Elephas maximus indicus: one gene and its partners. The protein of the gene in region 3 binds, or shares a complex with, the protein of the main gene of each other region. Links are inferred from orthologs where the notes say so. Each region holds a gene or a part of one and is shown on either strand. Other genes may lie near its edges.

The links. Proteins that work in one complex are often made in the same cells at the same time.
Region 1: RUVBL1 (region 3) and ASDURF share a complex: the UniProt entries of both Homo sapiens proteins name them as parts of the PAQosome complex. The link is inferred for Elephas maximus indicus from reciprocal best matches to the Homo sapiens genes RUVBL1 and ASDURF.
Region 2: RUVBL1 (region 3) and ANP32E share a complex: the UniProt entries of both Homo sapiens proteins name them as parts of the SWR1-like complex. The link is inferred for Elephas maximus indicus from reciprocal best matches to the Homo sapiens genes RUVBL1 and ANP32E.

The regions. Positions count from the first base shown.
Region 1 is NC_064824.1:87,826,465-87,834,173, reverse strand, and holds the start of ASDURF (ASNSD1 upstream open reading frame protein), read right to left. Parts: upstream 3,008-7,709; 5' UTR 2,938-3,007; coding exon 2,842-2,937; intron 1,000-2,841; coding exon 946-999; intron 1-945.
Region 2 is NC_064821.1:184,387,914-184,395,043, forward strand, and holds the start of ANP32E (acidic leucine-rich nuclear phosphoprotein 32 family member E), read right to left. Parts: upstream 3,008-7,130; 5' UTR 2,684-3,007; coding exon 2,630-2,683; intron 2,481-2,629; exon of another isoform or gene 1,991-2,480; intron 1-1,990. UniProt on the Homo sapiens protein: Histone chaperone that specifically mediates the genome-wide removal of histone H2A.Z/H2AZ1 from the nucleosome: removes H2A.Z/H2AZ1 from its normal sites of deposition, especially from enhancer and insulator regions.
Region 3 is NC_064838.1:42,480,576-42,487,991, forward strand, and holds the start of RUVBL1 (ruvB-like 1), read left to right. Parts: upstream 1-4,411; 5' UTR 4,412-4,513; coding exon 4,514-4,654; intron 4,655-7,416. UniProt on the Homo sapiens protein: Possesses single-stranded DNA-stimulated ATPase and ATP-dependent DNA helicase (3' to 5') activity; hexamerization is thought to be critical for ATP hydrolysis and adjacent subunits in the ring-like structure contribute to the ATPase activity.

The DNA of each region.
Region 1 (7,709 bases), on a different chromosome or scaffold from region 3:
TTATCAGTAAATACTACATTGTGAACACCTTTTCTTATGTTAATAAGTATTCTTTTACAGTATTACTGTATGGATATAAAATACTAGTTTTATTTGCTCAGTTCCCAAATCTTAAGACATTTGTGATGTTACCAACTTTTCACTATTATAAAATCAATGTTGTGATGAAATATCCTTGTAACTAAATCTTTGTGCACACCCGTGATTCTTTTCTAAGCATCAATTCCTAGAAATGATACTACTGGGTCAAGCTGTTACAGTTTTAAGACTTTGATATGCTCTGCCAATCTGTCATCTAGAAAGTTCGTTTCAATTGCGCCTTAACTTCTAATATTCCACAAAAGGCAATATTAGAAATGTCTAACCTGTTATAAAATAATATTTTAAATCCTTTAAGGAGCTAAAATAATTTCCTCCTGAATTTTAAAATGTAATTTTTGGTAACTTTGGCAGCTTGCTCATGAATACATTTAAAAATCGTGTTAAGCACTTCAAAGATTGAGGTTATTATTATTGTTTTTTGGGGGGTGGCAATTTTATCATTTTTTTTTGTTGTTCAACAATTATCCATATTCATTTATAGAAAGTTTCCTCTCTTTTCCATATATTTAAAGTTAATTTATTACAAAAGAAAATATCAAATTCAAGTATAAAATAAATACTATTACTGATTACAGCAGTAAACTACAGTACCCTTAGTATCATTTGGTCCAAAAGTAATGTGGATAGCACCCACCCAACCCACTGCCGTCAAGTTGATTCCGACCCTACCACATGATGGGGGAAAACCATTTTCAACATTACACACACGTTAAAAAAAACTTTTTCACTTTTGCAATTTGTTAACTAAAAAGATGTTGAAATCCTAAACATTTTAACGTTAGATTTATATAAACCATATATGTAATTTTTAATAAAATATAACCAATTACTCTAATAACTCACCCTGTTTTTCTTCAGGTTAGAAAGTTCATCTACAACAATTTTTTGTTCTTTAATCTATAGAAATAAAGGAAAAAAAAATCCTTAAATCAGGAGTTCTCAAGGTATGTTCAAAGATGGTCCTTTAATTGTTTCAGAATCAGAAATGGAATATGGGACTATTATGTAGTGATTTTCAAAATGGGCAGTCTGTGAATATACAGATTCTTTTCGCAAAGTCTGTGTGGGATGGAGGTGGGGGAAAGTTGAAGGGGGAAGCAGTGATTAGACTGGCCAAGGGTTGCTGGTAGCCAGAATACACACCAAGTGGTACGGTAACCAAACAAGGTTTATATCTTCTATTAAAAGCATATGGTATGCACCAAAAGTATTAACAGTTTTTCAATTAATTCTCACAAGCTGTGTTATATTTTTTATTTAATTCTGAATGGGATAAGGGGTGGGCTACTTTTTTCAATTATTAGTGGTTTTTATGATTTATGAACTAAATGGTGTAGCTAGACATCTGAAACAAGCAAGTAATGCTAAATGCCCTACTTGTGGCAGTAAGACCTATCACTTCCCATTGTTGCTTTATTCATTTCTGTATTTCAAAGACTAGCACAGTCCTGGCACTACTGAAAGAGGCTTTGCTTTATACTAGCATGGGAGCATTCAGCTAAGTGAAAACTAAGCAAATAACTAGTTATTTTGACAACCTGACAGTTTCGCTACCCAAACGCTAGTGGCTCTAAAATTATTGTTCACGGTCTTTTTTTCTACCTCACACACCTGGAGAATATCATATATTAATTTAAGGGACTTGCTATGGTAGTAACAGGAACATGCTGTGTAGTTTAAAAAACTACCCCCGATGTGTGTGCACCTTTGTGTCTCCCTAGCTGATAATCAAGGTTCTAGTAATTGACTCGATCAGGTTGAATACCAAGGTTGAATTCATATGACCTCCCTGGGATGAAAGTAGTAATAACAATAGGTTATGTCTGAACAGTACTTTTCCTATTCATTTTAGGAAAGCAGGTATAAATTTCACTTACATACTTCAAACAAGGAAAATATGATGGAGAGAGATTAAAGAGACCTGCCCAAGATGTCACTGTTAGTTTGGGACAGAAGCAAAGGATACCTAATATCTGAAAAGCTGTAACTGCTCTCTCCCCATATTTTTAAAGCTTTTGTCTATTGCACGAAATTTTTATATTGCCTCCCCTCCCCCCCTTTTTTAAAAATAGAGTGACAATCAGATACATGTTTTAGGATTATTACTCTGGCTGCTAAATGGTGAATAGATTAGAAAAAAGTAATGGTGGATGGGGAAACACCAGTTGGGAAGGATTTGAGAGAGTCCCAATGAGAGACGATAGTGGCTGGTCTGGGTTGATAGCAGGGTAGACGGTGGTTAAGAGTCCAGGGGCTTCGGAGGTAGAAGTGACAGGACGTTGTGATGGAAGTCAAGGATGGCTCGCCTGTTACTTGCATAGCCAACTGGACGGACGGTGGTGGCGTTTTCTGAGATGGAGAATACGGGCAATAGAACATCTAGGAGAGGAGGGCGGTCTTTCTAAAAGTTTTAAAAGGTAAAGTGAAAAATTTTAAAAACCTCCGTCCCACTGCTACCTAAGTCTAACCTTGGAGCAACTTTCAGTGTCTCCCTTACTACAACTGTTTAAAAGAAGGCAGCTGCAAAGTGTATAGAGCTGCACATAGTGCCATGAGTAAAAAGTGCACACCAGCTGGGCAAAGCCGAGGCCCGACGAGTCACGCACTGACACTGACCCACCGGGTACCAGGGACCGAGGATGGCCAAGCACGCGGGGAGCGAAGGAGCCGCGGCGGACCATCTTTGGGGCCAGTGGCGCCCCATCCGGGGCCCGTGAGCCTTCCCGCGTCCACACTTGCCTTGCTGTTAAGTTCCTCTTTGTGCGGGGTCGAGTTGTCGGAAGGGACCAGCTCAGCGCTGTCCTCCGGATGCGCCCGGGAGCTGGGCATCTCCATGGAACGCACGAGGCGAGGAGCACAGAACACCTCAGGCGCCCCAGCTGGAGGCAGCCGCCGACCTCTGCGCGTGCGCGCCCTCAGCGGCTCCACCCCCTCCCTTTCCGCTTCCCGTGAGTCCTGCTGACAGCGTCTGCGCACTAACCCGAACGCCTGCGCAGTCTGGGTCTGGCCTGGGCGTAGTTCGGCGGTTTCGCTGAACCTTTTCCGGCGCGCGCCAACAGAGCCTGGTTGTGAAATCTGAGAGCTTCTTCAAGTCTACCTTGGGGGATGGGTTGTAGAAGCGGCTTTTGAGGACTCTTCACTCTTTCTCCCCTAGTAGACTGCGGCGTTTCTCCCCTGTCGTGGAGAGTCGCTATGAGTTGGAATTGACTCCATACCAGTGGGTTTACTGCGGGTTGTAAGCGTCACCCAGTGGTAAATATAAAGAATAGGAATACCGCTAAATTTTTATTATCTACGGGGGGTAGCACGTGAGGCACAGATGTAAGAGCTGTAAGGTTGACAGCGGAACTGTACAAACTCGGTAAAATTTTTGTTAACTCGTTAGCAGGGTTACAAGGTAAAATACAGGAAAAAAAAAAGAGGCACAGTTAAATTTGACTTTCAGATAAAACAGTAATTTTTATTATATATATATGTCCCATGCAATATTTCTAATATTTCACTCCTGTGAGAAAAATTATCAAAAATTTGGAAATAGGCAAAAGAGATTACTGAGTGTTCTTTCAGTGCTGTTTTGTCCTTTTTATTGACCGTATTATTGTACAATTCTGTAGGGGCAGACTTTAACTTGTGGAGTTTTGTCAGGTATCTGTTGGACCAGGTTACTCCAGAGGTTATGATTTATTGTTCAGTTAGACATTAATCGGTTTTGTATCTAATTCTATGATCGTATTCTAACATAATTTTAGTAATACATCCCCAGCATCCCAAATGCTCTTTGAATTGGTTTTAATGTCTTCCCAATTCTCTATATAATTAATGAATTGAATAAAACTTTGACATGTGTTCATTTTATATTTTCATGAGGGTCATGGTGTTATACTTTTGAAAATTACACTTTACCATTGGAAACTTGAGATTCCATGGAGATACCCAAGTGGGACCACCTGTGGAGCCAAATAAATTGTATCACTGAAGAAGTGCACCTCATGGGTTAAGCCCAGTCATGTCTTTATTAGCTTTTAAAGTAAATCCCAATTGGTTATAGACCTAACTTTACTCTCTAATTTTTTTTTTCCCACTCTTCCTATTTAAACTTGTGTGTGTGTTTCTTACTTGTGCCTGGCTGATAAGTCATTTAACACTAGTAGCGGTAATGTTTTGGGAGTTTGGTTTTATGATTTCACCATTTAGTGATACGTCAGGTGATGGGAGGTATATTTTCTATTGGAAGAGACATTACAGGTTATTTTGTTGTTGTCTTCTTGTGAGCTCAAATTAACAGTTTTGTGTTCAGTGGGAAGGAGAACAGCTGTGGTGGTTGATTAGCTTTTGTGTTTCTGTGTTTATTTTCCACTGGGGATTGAGGATACACAACTGAAGCTGTAAGCTCTTCATGTGTCTGTGGGTCTATAGTTTAAAAAAGCCTTTATATCTCATTGTGTAAATGTAAAATGTTTTCCTACTTCTGGAGGATGTTAATACTTATAATGGCTTTTAAAGGAGTCAGTTCTGACTGGTTTGTAGTGATACATAAATTTATAATCCCAAAATTCACAAAAAATAAATAATAAAAAGACACTGAATTTCTAATACTTTGTGCTAGACTTTTAAAAAACATGTCCTTGATATAAAAGCTGCTAGGTCGGAAACTTTTTAAGAATCCAAGTTCACATAATTAAGGTGAGTTTTTGGACAAATTAGACTGGTTTACTAATTTTTGTTTAAGAAAGGACTGGTCTGTACATTTATTATGCCTGATCGGTCAACATCTGCCCATCTGTAGCCCATCACACAACTAGGTAGGCTGTTCTTTTTTCATGCATCTTTCACTTAAGACCATTGCTGTCATGTATCGTTCTTAATAGGATAATTTCATGGTTTTTTTAATGATACTTGTACTGCTCCCCTGATGCTATGTTCTCAATATATTTTAACTGATTCGTATTAGCCTGGCTTCCAAGTTTCTGAATTAATAGTCTCCCCCGCCCCCCATTCTTCCTTGCTTTCTCATTGTACTCCAACACAGAGATTCCTTTCTAGCCACATAAGTCGTTGTCTTGTCTCTTCTAAATGACATGTGGTATAGTCCTGTGGTTCTCAAATACTAGTCAGTAGGTGGGTGCAGTGACATCACTAAGGAGGTGGGGCGGGGTGTGGTCTGTACCAGAAGACACTGTCAGAGGGAGTGACACCAAAATAACCATCTCTAAAATTTTTGTGCAGTGTTTCACTAGAAATTTATTTTTTTATAAAAATATTCCTGTAGTTATAACAACAAAACTTTTTTTCTTAGACTCAGCTTCATGTATCAGTATATCTACAAGACTAATATTCTATGCTAATTTACTTTTTGAATCTTCTAATGTGCTCCAGTTAGAACTGTCATTATTACCTAATTATAATGATGCTTCGAATCACATGGTTTCATCATGTGCTACAATATTGCGGTAATTAGTATGGAGGGTGACACCAACCCTAGTGATGCTACTGGGTGGATGCCTTTCTCACTATATGAAATAACTTGAAAGTTTTGTTCAAATACATACAAATTTCACTGTGTTTTTCCCAGATTTGTAGACTCAGATCTTTGGGGATGGGATCTGGATGTCTGCTGCATAGAGCAGTCCTTACCATATACCTCACACGCAAAATGCCTGCATTTCAATCTTAGCTTCTGCATGTAATCTGTAGAATGGGGGCCTACCTCATAGGGTTGCTATGAGAATTAAATGAGCTAATATTTGTAGTGTGTTTATAATAATTTAAGAGTAAGCACTATATAATTGTGTGTTAAATAAGTAAATCAGAAGTTTCCCCAGATGATTTTGACAGAAGGTTTATGAACCAACGGGATGGAAAGAGCAAGACTCTGAGATAGTTGGCCCATTTCTTGTTGAAGGTACGTCCTCTCTTTTCCCTCTGTGATTCTCAACTGGAGAAGTGCTGTCCCCAGCTGATGCTTTGGAAAAAACATGGAAGTGCTTTTGGTTGTTACAATGATTGGATGGTTCTGTTAACTCTGATGGGGTAGGACTAACTGGGAACTATTTGAAGGGGAACAGACCGAGCCACAGGCTCTTAAGAAACCTAGACTAACAGGCCAAAGGGCAGCCTCAGCAAGCGGACAGCACTGGGAACTGTGTGGGGTGGGCCCTCGGACCAAATAATGAGATGAATCAAGGGTGATGTTGCAATCTAAGTAGGTGATTTCTCTCAGGAATTGTGTCAGAAGATAACAGGGCCTGAGATACTGGAGTGGTGTTTACCATCAGGGCTCTAGTACTGTGAGTAGGACTAGCCCTTTGCCATCGAGTCAGTTCTGTCTCATAACGACCCTATAGGACCGAGTAGAACTGTTCCATAGGGTTTCCAAGTAGTGGCTGGTGGATTCAAACTGCTGATCTTTTGGTTAGCAGCACACACAACCACGGCTTCTAGCGACCCTATTGAACAGAGTACAACTGCCCCATACAGTTACCAAGGCTGTAAATCTTTAGAGAGGCACACTGCTACGTCTTTCTCCTGCAGAGTGGCTGGGAGTTTGAACCACCAATCTTTTGGTTAATAGCCAAGCACTTAACCACTGTAATACCACAACTCTGGAGGAGGACTGCTGGGTATTATCACACAGACTTTGGGGAGAGGAGGCAGGATTTTAGCGATAGTAATAGAGCAGATTAAGCTGGTCTGCTTCTCAAGAGGAATTGCTGAGTCTTCGGGTACTGGGCTAGAGATGAGCAAATCCTTTCTACCGGAGGTAACCCAAACAAACCCAGTAAACTACCGGAGGTAAGAATGTGGAAATCACGCACCCCTGGCCTCTGCAGCAAACACCACGTGTGCAGGGCAAGGACTAGCATCCTGAAAGTTGCATGTTTCGTTAAATTTTGCACCCTAGGTGCTTCACACACCACACCTTAGTCTGGGATCTGCTCTCGTGCCAGCTGAATTTGAAGAGTTTATTATTGGTGGTTTTACCTTACAGTTTACTGGTCACTGTGGCTTGTGAATGACACCAATGAAAGATGCTTTATATGTTGTCAACGTCTGGTGTATCCTCACATGTCTTACAGCTATAAAGATGTTTGAACAAAATTACCTAGCTTCTTCTAGGACTTCTTCCATATGATTACCACAGTCCACCTACCTTCCCAAAGACTAAAGACATGTTCGAAAATTATGGTCTATGTAATTGAAGAAACAGAATTAAACGCAATCACCTCTGTGAGTTAGCATCACAGTGCATAACTGAGTCAGTTAAATAAAATAGTTATGAAATGTTTAATATCAGAAAAGTTACAAATAGTGATTAAATGTTTACTAATACCGAATTTGCAGTAAGATGCTTTAAAAACACGAAAATATATTCACCTGAGTAAACGGAAAATGATATGTAAATGATATATCAGTAATAATTATTTACATATTCAGATAATGTTTTTCTTTATAGAATGCCCTCATAATTCAGAACTCTTCATAGCTGGGGTATTTATGTCAGTTTATATTGTTAGCAATGCTAAAGTTTTACAAAACTGTTAATCAAAATCTGTTTATGACTACCTTGGGGTTGTAAAAACTTTTTTTTTTGGCTTTGTGAAACAACT
Region 2 (7,130 bases), on a different chromosome or scaffold from region 3:
CTTTGAAAAAGGACCCATGGTAAAAGCTGTTTTTGACCCTAATGGTGTTTGAGAATGATCCTCAACAGCAGGGCCCGTATTTATGCAGTGAAGGGACACCTGGGCTATTGGGAAAGGATTCCAGTAAGTTGTCCTAAAAGTTAGCAAGGAGAAGACAGGAAATAGTTTTATTCATTTTTTTCAGTTTTCAACTCCCTCATCTTTCATTGATAAATGCCATCAAACTCAAAAAAAAAAAAACAACCTTGTTACCTTTCTGGAACAGCCTAGCTTTTCGGTGTTATTTGTTCTAATAATGAGGCCAAACAGTATCACCCAGAATATTACATCCTTGACAAAATGTTATTTCTCCCTGCCATCCTGGTAGCATTTTTGTGGACTTTTCTCTATTCTTGGAGGGGAGAGGAGGGCTTGATCCCCCATTAGGTTACTGTTATAGCAACAAAACTTCCTGGTATGGGCCTAAAAGGACTGAATCTTAAGGAGGCAGGAGACCCTGCTCTATTTCCCAACAGCAAAAATATGTTTTAAGTATTTTGAGGGCTAAAAATTAGCAACACGGAATGCCACCTTCCCCATCTGAATATGACTTTGACGTAATTATTTCAGTGAGCAGAGAAAGCATCATCTCTCCCCTAGAGATGGAGAAACCAAGAGCCAGAGGCTATGGATGATTTGCCCAGGGTCACACAATTAGTATGTGGCAGAGCTGTGCCTCAACCCTAAGTCTTCTTACTCCCAGTCTAGCTGAGTGGTGGAAGGGTTGCTAGATTTGGTGTCAGAAACCAGTTCTACCACTTAAGTAAATCACTTCACTGCTCTAAGACTTTTTTTTTTTTTTTTGCTAATTTGGATTCTAGAACAATACAATCCACCTTACAAGTTTATCGGAAAGAGTGAAGTAAATAAAATGAAAAGTGCTTTGTAAACTGTAAAGAGCTTTACAAACGTAAGAGACTGTTATTATATCACGGCGGAGGAAGGAGAATTTGCAAAAAGGCACTCTCTCCTCCAAATCCCCAAAACGGGCAATGCTGCAAAGAAATTACTACGTAAAAAAATGGGAGGTGGGAGGCAAATCCATTTCTCCAACTCAAGACATAAAAAAGTATTCTAAATGTGTGCTTTTGAAAGACTGCATTCAAGTTTGATTTTGCTTTTCCCTGAAGCCCCTGAAGAGTAGATCCTAGAAAACTTCAAGTTTTCTCTGGGATGACCCTGATAGCAGCAACTATTTCCTCCTCCCCGCACCCTACCAATTTCAGGGAAAGAAAAAAAAAAGTACATAAATATCTTGTGTCCCACTCTGCACGCAGCAGCCCACCGGCCAGAATCCTACTCATCTTCTACGGTGCACAGGCACCACCTCACCCGTTAAAAATACATATCTCGCATATTCCAATTCTAGGGCTAACAGTATTTCAGGCGCTGCGCACCAGCAAGGCAATTAACACTTTCCCTTGAAACCTTAAGTCCGAGGCTCCTCGCGGGCCACAGTCCCCGCGCGCGCTCGGGCCGACTGGGAACCCTACATGGTGCGTGGACGCCCCAGGGAAAGGGGTGGTTTGCCGGGCCGCGTTCCCCTCGCGCCTCCGCCGGGGGCTGGGAGCGCTGGGTGAGGCCGAGGGGCGCCTTCGCAAAGGAGGCGGGAACACCTCCCGCCCGCCCCCCGATAGCTGACGACCCCGCCTCACGTGGCCCCTCCCAAGCCCGTCTCTTTAACTAAGGCGACAGTAACTAGAGCGCATCTCTGAGTTTCGTCGTGCCCATCTTTAAGGCACAAAACTACTACGACCCATTTGTTGAGTTTTGTGAACCCATCTCCGCGGATCAAATTCAGAGTTGCGGCCACTACGCCACTAGACACCGAATGTCGTTACATCGCGGTGTAAAAGCCGGGGGTGTCCTCCTCTCCTTTGGAGGGAAGAAGGGGATTCTTCCTCACGACCCCTCCCCACCTCCGGTCACTGCGACGAGTCCCCAAACTTACCCGCGGTCCGACTAGCCCGCGGCTGACCCAGATTCCTCCAGCCGGCGGCCGCCGCGCGCCCCATCCCGGGGGAATGGGCGCCGCCAGGAGCTGGCGGTCCGCGGACCCTGCGAGCGACCCCAGCCCTCGACCAGCGCGAAGTCAGGCGCCAACCGGCCTCGAGGTCGGGGCGAGGGTCTCTTGACCCCTCCGCCCTCGACCCCAAACGAGTTGGCAGCACTGCAGGAAAGTTGGACTAACTTCTCAGGCGGCGGCGCCTGCGGCAGGGGCGAGTGGACCGGGGGGTCGCGCCCACGCCGCCTGCCTCCAAGAAGAGGAAGGCGGGGAGCGACCGGGCAGAGGGGCCCCCACCACCTCGCTTCCCTGCCCCCACGAGGGCAGGAAGCCCAGCTCACCGAGAGTCGAAAGGGGCTAAGCCCCTACACACACACAAAAAGGCCCCTAGAAACTTAAACCCTTCGCCATTTTAAGAAAGAAGATTTTAATGATTTAAAACTTAAAATTAAACATTTCCTCCAGCCCTAACCCCAGATGGGGGTTAATTTCCTACCTCTCCCTACACACCCACTCGGACCCCTAGAAATTCGACCCTCCGAATATGGGGTTGGTGGGGAAGGGGAGGGGGCTGAGTCATCTCACCTCCTCCGGGGCTTTGTTCCTTAACTCCAGGTTAATCCTCTTCTTCATCTCCATGTCCTCCACCTCCTCTTCTGCCACTAGTCTCCTGCCTTCCCCTTTCCTGCCTTTCCCCACCACCCCCAACCCTAAAATTTAAAAAGGTTTGAAAATGAATGAAAAGAAACGCAAATATAACGCCCACCGCCACCAGATAGGTGTGGGGGGGGGGGAAGAGAATAGCAAATGGAGTCCAAGGAGTTGGGACTCTAACTCGGCTGCCCCCACCTCCTTGTCCACACACTCGCGCGCGCGCGCACACACACGCACACACACACTCACACACCCGCAGTTCCTTCCCCTTCAATGGCTGCTCGGAGACTGAGCCTCCATGACACGGCACCGCCAACCCCCTAGCCTACACTCCACCCACCTCCCGAACGTATTGGTTGCTTCTTCAGCATCACACTATTCCGTTGGGCTACGTAATTGTCTATCAGTCTTCAGGGCGGACCTGGACCAGAAACTCTGTGTCTATTGGATACGACCAAGCGCGCAGTTAACTCCGATAGGCCCAGGAGAGTGTCCATCCCAGAAAAATGGTTTTGAATCCCAATAGCCCCCCCCTTTTCTTTGTGTGGTTGGCGCGCTTTCCCCAGGCGCTGGGACGGTTTTGATGCCTGTTGGATTTGTTTTTTTGCTTTTCTGTTTTTAGTGTAAAAGGGAGGGAGAAAGCATCCTATCCCAAGCTACGACACCGATAATTCACCACACACGCACCGGCTCTTGGCCGTTTTAAAACACAGGCCCTGCTTTGCTGCCAAAGTGCACACACCAACGTGCACATCACATTAAAAGCATGCCTTCGTGGCACTGCCCTGCCGGGAACAGGCTTCCCACAGAGACTGATGTTCCGTGGTGCAGAACCAGGATATAGATGGTATTTTAAATTCCATCATGAGGGACTGTCTGATTTTGAAAGCAGTTGGGTGAATAAAACTACCTTGGAGAATTGTTACTGAGGTTAATTGTTGCTTTAATAAACACTGGGACCTTGGAAGTGAAAGAAAGCTGGCCTAATAAAAATCGAACATCGTTTCGCACAGAAATGGCTCTGCAATGCTTCTCCTAATTCCCTTTAGTTGGTTTCCACGGAAATCTGTAGGTAAAGTGTACTTTTAATGCGGAATATAAAAGAGTGGGATAACAATTGTTTTTTTCTTAAGGGTCTAATTTTTCTTAGTTCTTGCTTCAATTCTGTCCTTCTCATTCGCTTACACCCTTTTCAGGATAAACACCCAAAGAAGTTCCAGATGATTTGGGGAGGGAGGGCGGAAGTGATGAATTACCCCCAGGCCTCCCAGAGCTGGGTTTTTATTTGCAATTTTTCCAGTCTCTCAGGTTAGAGACCTTTGGCTTTCCATACACAGGTTCCTCACCACTCTACCACAGGCTGTCTTTCCCCACACAGAGACAGGCATTCCCTCAAATAGGTTTACATTTAAAATGTAAATATTTGGTATTTGGTGTGTTAAATACTTCAGGAGGAAAACAAAATGGTGGTTTTCTTTTTAATGACAAATGTTTCCTTTGAATTCCCTAAAAAGGAAATTTCGTGAAGGTGAAAACAGAGGCTCTTCTAAAGAAGTAGAGAAGGAGGGCTTTTTGGTATAAAATGACATCTCTGGAGGCCATTTGAAGAGTTAGTTAAGTTTTGTGTTTGTTTTAATGCAGGCGAAAAGAAGCCAAAATGATAGGAAAACTGAACCAAAATGAACTGCGGAACAGTTCAAGGAAGAGTTAAAAACCAAGGGAAGAAAAAAAGACCTAAAAGAAACCTGGAAGCAAATTTTAGTACCAGTCCTGAGTTCTGACCCGCCTGCCACTGCATTATCCTGTTTTCTGCAAATTATTTAGCTTCTCTGGTTCTGGAACAGAATCCAAAAGAGACTTCACGGAAGGAGATTGATATTTAGGAGCCATCCACATACAAATGATAGTTGAGACCATGAGAACAATTAAGATCTCCACAGAGAATGTATATAATAAAAAGACTATCAGGCCAAGGAGAGCAAAAACATGGTTGAGAAAAAAGAAGAAGAGGGGGGAGGTATTGTCTACCAAAGCAGACATTTATATTCAAAATGTAAACCAAAAAAACCCAAACTGGTTGCCATCAAGTCCATTCTGACTCATAGCAATCCTATAAGACAGAGTACAACCGCCCATAGGGTTTCCAAGGAGTGGAATTCCTGGTGGATCCAAACTGCCAACTTTTGTGTGTGTGTATGTGTGCTTTAAGTGAAAGTTTACAAGTCAGTCTCTCATACAAAAATTTATATACACCTGGCTATATACTCCTAGTTGCTCTCCCCCTAATGAGACAGCACACTCCTCTCCACCCTGTATTCCCTTGTCCATTCAGCCAGCTTCTGTCCCCCTCTGCCTTCTCATCTCCCTTCCAGACAGGAGCTGCCCACTTAGTCTTATGTGTCTACTGAGCCAAGAAGCTCACTTCTCACCAGTATCATTTTCTATCTTATAGTCCAGGCCAATCCTTGTATGAAGAGTTGGCTTTGGGAATGGTTCCAGTCTTGGGCTAATGGAAGGTCTGGGGACCATGACTTCCGGGGTCCTTCTAGTCTTAGACCATTCAGTCTGGTCTTTTTACGAGAATTTGAGATCTGCATCCCACTGCTCTCCTGCTCCCTCAGGGGTTCTCTGTTGTGTTCCCTGTCAGGGCAGTCATCTGTTGTAGCTGGGGACCATCTAGTTCTTCTGGTCTCAGGCTGATGTAGTCTCTGATTTTTGTGGCCCTTTCTGTCTCTTGGGCTAATAATTACCTTGTGTCTTTTGTGTTCTTCATTCTCCTTTGCTCCAGGTGGGTTAAGACCAATTGATGCATCTTAGAAGAACTGCCAACTTTTATTGAGAAAGAGGTGAATTAAAAAAAAAAGTTGTGGAAGCCAAGGAGTTTGAAGAAAGAGATGGTTATTGCAGTTAAATGGTAAGGCTTTTGTATTGGACCACATGGACAGAATGGGAAAGTATCCTGGAGATAATGTGGGAAAGGTTAAGTCTCTTTGTCCATTTGGATTTAGGTCTTCTTATTCATTTAAGGAGCCCTGGTGGTGTATTAGTTAAGAGCATGGCTGCTAACCAAAAGGCAGGCAGTTCAAATCCAACAGCCACTCCTTGGAAACCCTGTGGGACAGTTCTACTCTGTCCTGTAGGGTCACTAAGTGTAGGGATTGATTCAGTTTTTTTATTGTTTTGTTTATTCTTTTAAAGCTGTTTTAGTAACGTTTGTTGAAGAAATGGAGGTAAATATGTGTTTTAAATTCCCCATGTTTAATCGGAAGTTTCAAGGAATTTTTTAAATTTCTTTTGAGACAACTATTTATTATTCTATTTAACTTCAGCTCAATCTAGCCAATGACTTTGGCACAAAATGCCAAAAACAAAGTCTTAGTAATCAGAGTTGAATGTAATCCTACATTCAACTGTTGAAATATATTGAAGTTTGATAGAAGGTGTAAAATGGTCCATTTAATTAAGGTTTTCCCTGCGTAGTAATTTCAGCTATTTTGCCAAGCAGAAAGAGCAATTCAATACTTTATATTAGAATACATTATTTTAATATTATACTTTCTCATCAAATGATGAGTTTACTTTAAATTTTTTTATCGTGGTAAAAAATATGTAACAAAACAGTTGCCATTTCAACCATTTTTATGTGTACAATTCAGTGACATTAATTACATTCTCCATGTTGTGCAACCATCAGAGTTTACTTTTAATATGTCTTTAAAGAACTTGCTACAGTCACTAATGTAGACTTTACTCGCCTTTAAGCCAAATTTTCCCCCAAATGAACATATCTCTCACTTTAGACTGAGAGTCCATGAGAAGATGGGATTCATTGCACAGAAATTTAACCATGATACAAGTGAACTTTATTTCTGTGTGATGGCTAATAGGTCATGAGGGAGAGAAAAATACTGAATTTTTGCCTAGACTTGTGATGCCACTTGTAGGGTCCTTTGTTTATGTCTCAAAAGGAAGAAGAGTGACAACTCGTGAACATACCATTGGAGGAATGTAACCATTATGGAGGGTAAATACAGCATGAACCATAAAAAAGTACATACCCTAAATTAAAATCAAAATGAGATACCACTATGTATCTGTCAGAAAGGCTACTTTTTTTGTTGTTGTTTTTTTAACTAACAATACCGAATGCTGGCAAGAATGAGGGGCAACTGGAGCTCTCACACATTGCTCGTAGGAGTGAAGAACAGTACAACCACTATGGAAAATAGTTTGACAGTTTCATACAAAATTAAACATATACTAACATATGGCTTAGGAAGCCTGCTCTTAGGTATTTACTCAAAGACAATAAAAATGTATGTCCACTCAAAATAATTCTATTATGAAAACATTCTGCATCCCACTTTGAAATGTGGCGTCTGGGGTCTTAAAAGCTAACAAGCAGCCATCTAAGATGCATCAACTGGTCTCA
Region 3 (7,416 bases):
AGGAAGAAAGAAGTGGTCCCTGCATGTATGTTTTGTATTTCATGTTGCATGGAAACAGCCCCCTTATTTGCTTAAGCCACTGTGAGTCTGATTTTCTGTTGCTTGAAGACAAACGCATTCCTAACTGATACCGGTAAATGAATTGAGAGTTTCTAGATATGGTGAGTGGTCAGTAGTGTCAGACGTTGCACAGAGGGCCTGTAAGCTTGGAAAATGTCTGGTGAATTTGGCTCTTGTAAAGTCACCCTTGACTTTCAAGATAGCAGATTCGAGAGAGCAGCAGGGGTGACAGCCGTGTTTCATCGGGCTAAAGAGTGACTGGGAGGAAGAGGAGGGAAGTCAATAAGTGGAGAACTTTCCTGTGAAGGGAAGCTAAATGATAAAACAGTCCTGAGAGGGGGTAGGGAGGTAAAAAGGAAATATTGAACAAGTTATATCCTACGGGGAATGATCAGGGAAAATGTATGAAAATACAGGAAAAAGAAGGTAATAGGTGGAGGTAGGCCTCTGAGAGGTGGAGGAAGTTCCAGGTTGTCGTCTGGAACCCAGTTAGTAGGGTTACTTTGGCCAGGAGGAAGGTCATACCTGCCTTTGAGACAGGATACAAGGAAAGTTCAGCAGTGCCTGGCACTTAGAAGCAGCTTAGGGTGGAGACTAGAAATTGTCTCCCAATCTACTTTTTCCCCTTTTACATAGGACTAGAATTTTTAGCTGGGCTCAAGTTGAAATAAAGACTGCATTTTCTAGCCTCCCTTGCATCTAGCTGTAGCCATTTGATCAAGTTCTGCCAATGGACTATGAGTAGATATGATGGTGCAACTTCAAGGTCAAGGGTAAACGGAAGGAACAAGTCCTCCATTTCCCCCATTCCTCATTCTTTCTGGCCCAAATACAGCCTTTTGGGGGAAGCTGGAACAACCATCTTGGATCACGAGATGGAAGGCATGTGTGGAGTGGTGCAGCAACAAGATAGAATGAGTATAGGTCCTTCATGATTGTGGAGCCAGCACATCAACTGGAAGGCCTTCCTGAACCTTACGTTTATGTTTAAGCTGCTATTGTTTTGGATCTGTTAGTGCAACAGAACTCATATCCTGAATAACGCAACCCTGGGCAGCTCTGAGGGCTCAGCTGAGGCCGGAAGCCATGACTGTGTAATGACTTCAGGGGGCCACTGGGTGATTTCCTCCAGCCATTCCCAGCAACCCCCTCAAGGAAGGGAGAAGACAGAGGTAGACTTGACATATGCTTGACAGTTCAAAGGGCAGGTGTGGCAGAAGTCAAGGCAAGGAGGGAGCAGAAGGGTTGGGAAGTGGATTGAAATGATGGAGTTTGGACTGGAGAAAATAGAGGTTGAGGGACTGGAAGTCAAAGAGCAAGGGTCATGGGAGTAAGGGAATGAAAGAGCTGGCAGGATTGGTTATCACATGGCACAATTTCTGGAACGTAATAGTCCACACACTTGCTTGTATATGTGTCATTGCACTCATCCGGATTTTCAGTGGCACTGGACAGAAATCTAACTCAAACAACCTTAGGCCCCAAAGTAAGTACCGTGTTACACTGCAAGTAAGGCAAGGCTGGATCCAGGGATGCAAAGGATTTTGTCCGGAATCCCTTTCTCTCAGCTTTGCTTTCCTCTCTCTTGTCTTCATTTTCAAGTTGGGTGTCTCCGTGAATTGGCAAAGACAGCTACTAGCCTGAAAACCCGTGTAGAAGAGAACATGTTTTTATATTTCCAGTAAGAGTGCTGGGATTTAGTGTCATTGAACCACTAGCTCACATTCCTGAATAGGGCCAGGGAGATGGGATACTCTGATAGTATCCCATCTGAAGCTGGGGCAGGTTGGGATCAGCCTACCCAAACTCCTTGGACAAAAAGTTGGGGAGGGGGGTTCCTAAAGAAAATTAGGGTACAGAGACCAGAACACAAGGTAATGGATGCTGGGTAGGCAGAAGTAACCTGTATCCACTACTGTGGGCTTCACCTGCTCTTCATATTCATTTACCTTGTGTATCTTAGGCTCCGGTCTGCCACATGGTCGTCTGTTGAAATGAAAATAAATGGTCTAACTCTGAAACCAGGTCTAGATCTTTTCACACTGGGAGGCAGAGATATGGGTTCTAGGCCTTGTGATTTGGGGCAAACCCAGGCCTCTCTTGGGTCCAAAAATGAGAATGCTAGTCCAGATCAGTGGTTTTCAATTTGTTGTCTAGGAGTAAATAGATGGAAAAGCTCTGGTGGAAGGGGGAGGAGGGCATGGAGCTATCTGCACTATCGGTCTTCCCCTTCCCCTCCCGTACTAGCCGAGAAAGAACTCTATAACTCTGGGGTCCCACTGGACCAGTGGTCCAAGGGATTCCTTTGAGCTCTAAAATTGAGCCTTAGTTCCACCAATATTTGACTGAAAGACAATCCTTCATTTTGCTTATTGACGCAGAGACAAAATTGGCGCTTAAAAGGATAAATGTAAAAAGATCTTCTCCCCCAACTGGACAATATGCAAAGAAGTAGTCTCACAGAGTACCTCACTCTGACTACTGCTTAGGGGAAAACTTCCTTCTCCAAAGGAACTGGTCCTCACTTAAGGGTAATGACTAGGAGTACAGCAATTAGACACTAAGCATCTTTGTGGGCTTTCTGGGGTGATATCCTTAGGGTTGCTGAATCACAGGCCAACAGTGACAAGCTCAGCCTTCCAAGGCCTCACCTTTGCAGTTTCAGGCTCTGAAAGTGCCAGAAGACCCCATTTGCTGGCAGAAACCATTACCAAGGGCCATAAAACCAAGTTTGTAAAATACATCCATCAAAATTGCATGAATTCAAGTGTGTGTGTGTGTGTGTGTGTGTGTGTGTGTATAGGAGGGGGAGAGGGAGGCTAGAACTTTATTTGAATTCATTCAAAGCCTTGATTGTAAGCCAGGTTGTATGCCAGGCACTGGGGTAAAATGATGGGCACACAAATGTGGTTTATACTCTCATAATGCTTAAGGTTTGGTGGCAGTGACAAATATTGACCCAATAATTATGCAAATAATTACAAACTTAGATTTGAAAATTATGAAGGAGAAGTACAAAGAGGTGTGAGATTTGGGGACTGCTACAGCTGAATTTGACTACAGCTCTCTTAAACTCAGGGAAGTGCTGCCCTTTTCCTGGACCTCAGTTTCCTCATCTGTAAAATGATGGCATACCATCTGCTTCTGAGGAAGTCTTACCCATTCTACAGGATTCAGCACTTCCCTGGGTCTCCAGGCTGTTCAGGAGCCCCTGCTCTGGGTTTGCATACCACCTGAGTTGTACCTGTCCCAGCACATCTCACTTCCCAAGCAGGGAGTAAAGTCCTTGGGTGTGATCTTGTATTTTGTCTTTATATCCCCAGTGCGTTGTAGTGTCTGGCTCACTGAAGGTGTTGAATGTCTGGTGCAGGTAGTGTTAATATCATTACGGAATTTGACAGGACATTCTCCCTGACCAATTGTCCTGGCTGAAGTAGCGGGGTGGGAAGAGGATTGCACAGGTTGAAATTCTGAAATCCTCAGCTGGAGTTCCAGTTCTGCCAATTATTTGCTGTGTTCTCGGGCAAGTTATTGGGGCTCTTTTAGCCTGAATCTTTTTCTGTATTAGGGGTGATACATCGCAGGGCTGCAGAGTTTTGCAAACTGCAAAATGTTACTCACCATCAACTTAATTTGAATAAAGGGGGAGGTGGAGGTGAGCAGAAGCAGAGGGAGACAATTTCACGGAGATGATCCTGAACAGAGATGCAAAGTAAAGTATGCATTACACCAGTTGCCATTGAGTAGACTCTGACTCATGGTAACCCCAAGTATGTCAGAGTAGAACTGTGCCCCATTAGATTTTCAATATAGGGTCGCTGTGAGTCGTGATAACTCAACTGCAATGGGTTTGTTTTTTGGTGGGATATTTAGGAAGCAGATAACCAGGCCTTTCTTCCCAGGAGCCTCTGGGTGGACTCAATTGCTACTCTTTTGGTTAGAAGCCCAGCGCTTAACCATTTGTGCATCTCAGGGGTTCCAAGCATGGATTAGGTGTCAGAAAACTGGATAGTAACCAAAAACTAAAGCTTAAAATCTGAGCCTCAATTTCTCTATCTCCAAAACGGGTACGAGCCTCGCATAAAGGTATGACGTTTAATTGCGACGCCGGGAGCCGAAAACCGCCAGCGACTACCGTACGCCGTGATAGGGTTACACGATTAGAACTGGCATCCGGGACCCAACTCCGGGTTCTTTGCACCTCCCGCCCCTGGCCTGGGCAGGAAGCGCCGACTGCCGGGGAACGCATCCAGCGACACAGCCGGAAGTGGATGGGCGGAGCCCCACGGGCAGCCCTGATGAGCCAATGGGAAGTAGAGGTGTATCCCACCTCCTCCAGTAGAGCGCCGACCAAGGCGGGCGCTTGCGAACCGCCCTAGTAACGGCCGCATGGTAACCCGAGCGCCTGGCGCGTGGTACTCGCTGCTGTTTTTCGACTCCCCGAGTCTGCAAGATGAAGATTGAGGAGGTGAAAAGTACCACGAAGACGCAGCGCATCGCCTCCCACAGCCACGTGAAGGGGCTGGGGTTGGACGAGAGTGGCTTGGCCAAGCAGGCGGCCTCGGGACTGGTGGGCCAGGAAAACGCGCGAGAGGTGTGGTCCGCGAGCCGGGGAGTAGACGGTGTTGAGCTGGGGGAGCTCAAGGGTTTGGGGGGCGCCTAAGGGGCTGGGCTGCGCGCTGAGGGTCTCGCCCGATATTTGCGTTAAGGGCTGTGGGTATAGGCTACGCGAATCAAGAGGGGCACGACACTGGGCTGGGAGAGGGACGGTCCCAGTAGAACCGGTAACAACTCTACAGGGGGACTGTTGAGTGTTAGATTCGACCCTTTGAAGCAGCACGTATTTGATTGAGCCACCTAATACGTGCCAGGTTCCATTCGTGACCCTGGGATACACCTGGAAACAAGATAGATAACGTTCCTGCTCCCGTGGAGCTTACAAGACGATAAACGTATAAACCAGTAAGCAAAAATTATTTTGGTAGGCAGAGGTCAGTTACTTCAGAGCTTCGTTGGCCATGGTGAGGAATTTGGATTTTATTGTGAATGCACTTGGAGGCTACGGATTTTTCTTAAGCGAGGAAGTGACTTTCCTTAAAAAAGTCCCTTTAGGTTCCTAAGGGCTGGGAGCTGAGGGAGGGAGTGGAAGTTATGGAGAGGAGCCATCTGGTTTATAAGCAAGCCCCTCCAGGCATCTCCTTTGACCATTATAACTAAGTCCACTTTTATTAAGTGGCTGTGATGCCAAAACCTTTCACTTAGCTCGTAATCACACACTATTCGAGCCCTTTGTTTTTTCTTCTTTTTTGGCAGATGGAAAAATTGAGGGCAGGAGAGGTCACTTCACCTATCCACTTGCCACTCAGCTTAGTAATGGTAAAGTTGAGATTGCACCCGAATGTATGTCTGACTCCCAAATCGGTGCTCTCTGATCACACAGCCCTCGTCTCAGCTTGCCTGCTCTAAGGTCATTGTCATGGCCTGGCAGCTACAAGAACCTGAACTTAAATATGAGGTTAAGAGGCTTGCTTCACAGCCTGATTGTGCTATAAAAGGGCCAAAGAAAAGCCTCTAGTTTCCATTTTGAGCATCATCTTTCCAAAAAGCAAACACTGACACGGTCAAGATGATTTTGAAACTTGCCTTTATCCAGCTTCAGCTTACTGAGGACTTGCTACTGCAAATAGCTAACATTTGTTGAGTACTTTCTATGTGCCAGGCGTTGTGCTGAGCAGTTTTATCTCCATTATCTTGTTTACCACTTCAAACCTAGTATTAATTGCCTTCCCTCCACTTTATTATGAAAAATTTCAGACAAAAAAGTTGGACGATTTGTACATTGAATACTATGTGCCTGAATTTTACAATTAGCATTTTACTATATTGCTTTTTCACACATCTGCCCATCCGTTCGTCTGTCCATCCACCAATCCATCTTTGTATTTCAAATAAGTTGCGGACATCTTTTAGCTTGTATGCCATTAACTATTAAGGACTCCGTTTTCAGAAAAGGAAATTGTGGTTCATAGAGGTAAATTATCTTGTCTGAGGTCACTACTAGTAAGTGGTAGAGCAAGGATTTAAACAAGTCTACCTTACTGCAGAATCCGTGCTCTTCACTGATGCATCATACCACTGTGACAGTAAGGACTAGTATTTATTACATACCCAGAACCTGGCTCATAGGGGCTCGGTATTTATTTATTGAATTAGTAGTTATCTGAAGACTTCTCTCAGCTACCTGGTCATATCAGCATCTTTCCTGGTGCTCAATGTCCACATCTGAAAAATGAGACCAGGTGATATTTTGAGGTTCTTCCAGTTCTTTTTAAATTTTAAGGTTCATTGAACATGTCTCACTGGAGAGAAACTGGAGCTTAAACTAAGGAAGATTAAATGGAAGAGGATCTAGTCTGTAAAGAAGAGTAGTATATACTCAGGATTTGGAAAGTCTTTCCCTTTTCTGTCTTTTTGAGTTTCCCAAAGAGCTCTGATGCTGAGGATTATGATATCACAGAATTCTGTGAACAGACCATAGTGGCTCTTTTATCGTCTTAGAAATACAGCATATGAAAAAGAGCTTCTAGGCTCTGTTAAGGGCACTGCCTTGCCAACTGAGCCAGAAATGGAATATAGCACACCCACACACATTCCTTGAACACATTTTTGGAGAGGACCAAGGTACTTCTCCATAGGCCATAGGGAAGAAAGAGACAAGAAGATGTGGACCCCATCCCAGGGAGCTACCTAGTGGTAGAGAAGAAAGGATGTGTTCTTGGGCCCTGTCAATACAGTACATGTGTGGTCACTGCCCAGAGAGAACTGTGGCCTTCCCTCAGACAAGGCAAATGAACCTTCTAGCCAGTCATATATTATGAATTCAGTGTGAGAAACCTGGTATCATGTAGTCCTTAGCACAAAACCAAAAACCAAACCTGTTGGAGCCGAATCAATTCTGACCTATAGCAACCCTACAGGGCAGAGTAGAACTGCCCCATAGAGATTCCAAGGAGCACCTGGTGGATTCAAACTGCTGACCTTTTGGTTAACAGCTGTAACTCTTAACCATTATGCCACCAGGTTTCCCCTTAGCATGAAGCCACCCTGTGAATGTGACTTTCCTACCTTTGCTCCTTTATAGTCAAATATTGTAAAATATATGATTGGTAGTCCATTTATAGAATATGTTTAAAGTGAACTAACACTAAGTGATAAAATAATTTACTCTTCAAGATTCAAAAGGCACTTGAAAGGAACTTGTGTCATAGGTTCAACTTCATATGCAGCGTTTCCATCTGCTGTGCAGTGTTCTGGGATGGTTTACTGATGGCCAGCTAGTAGTGTATGCCATTGATT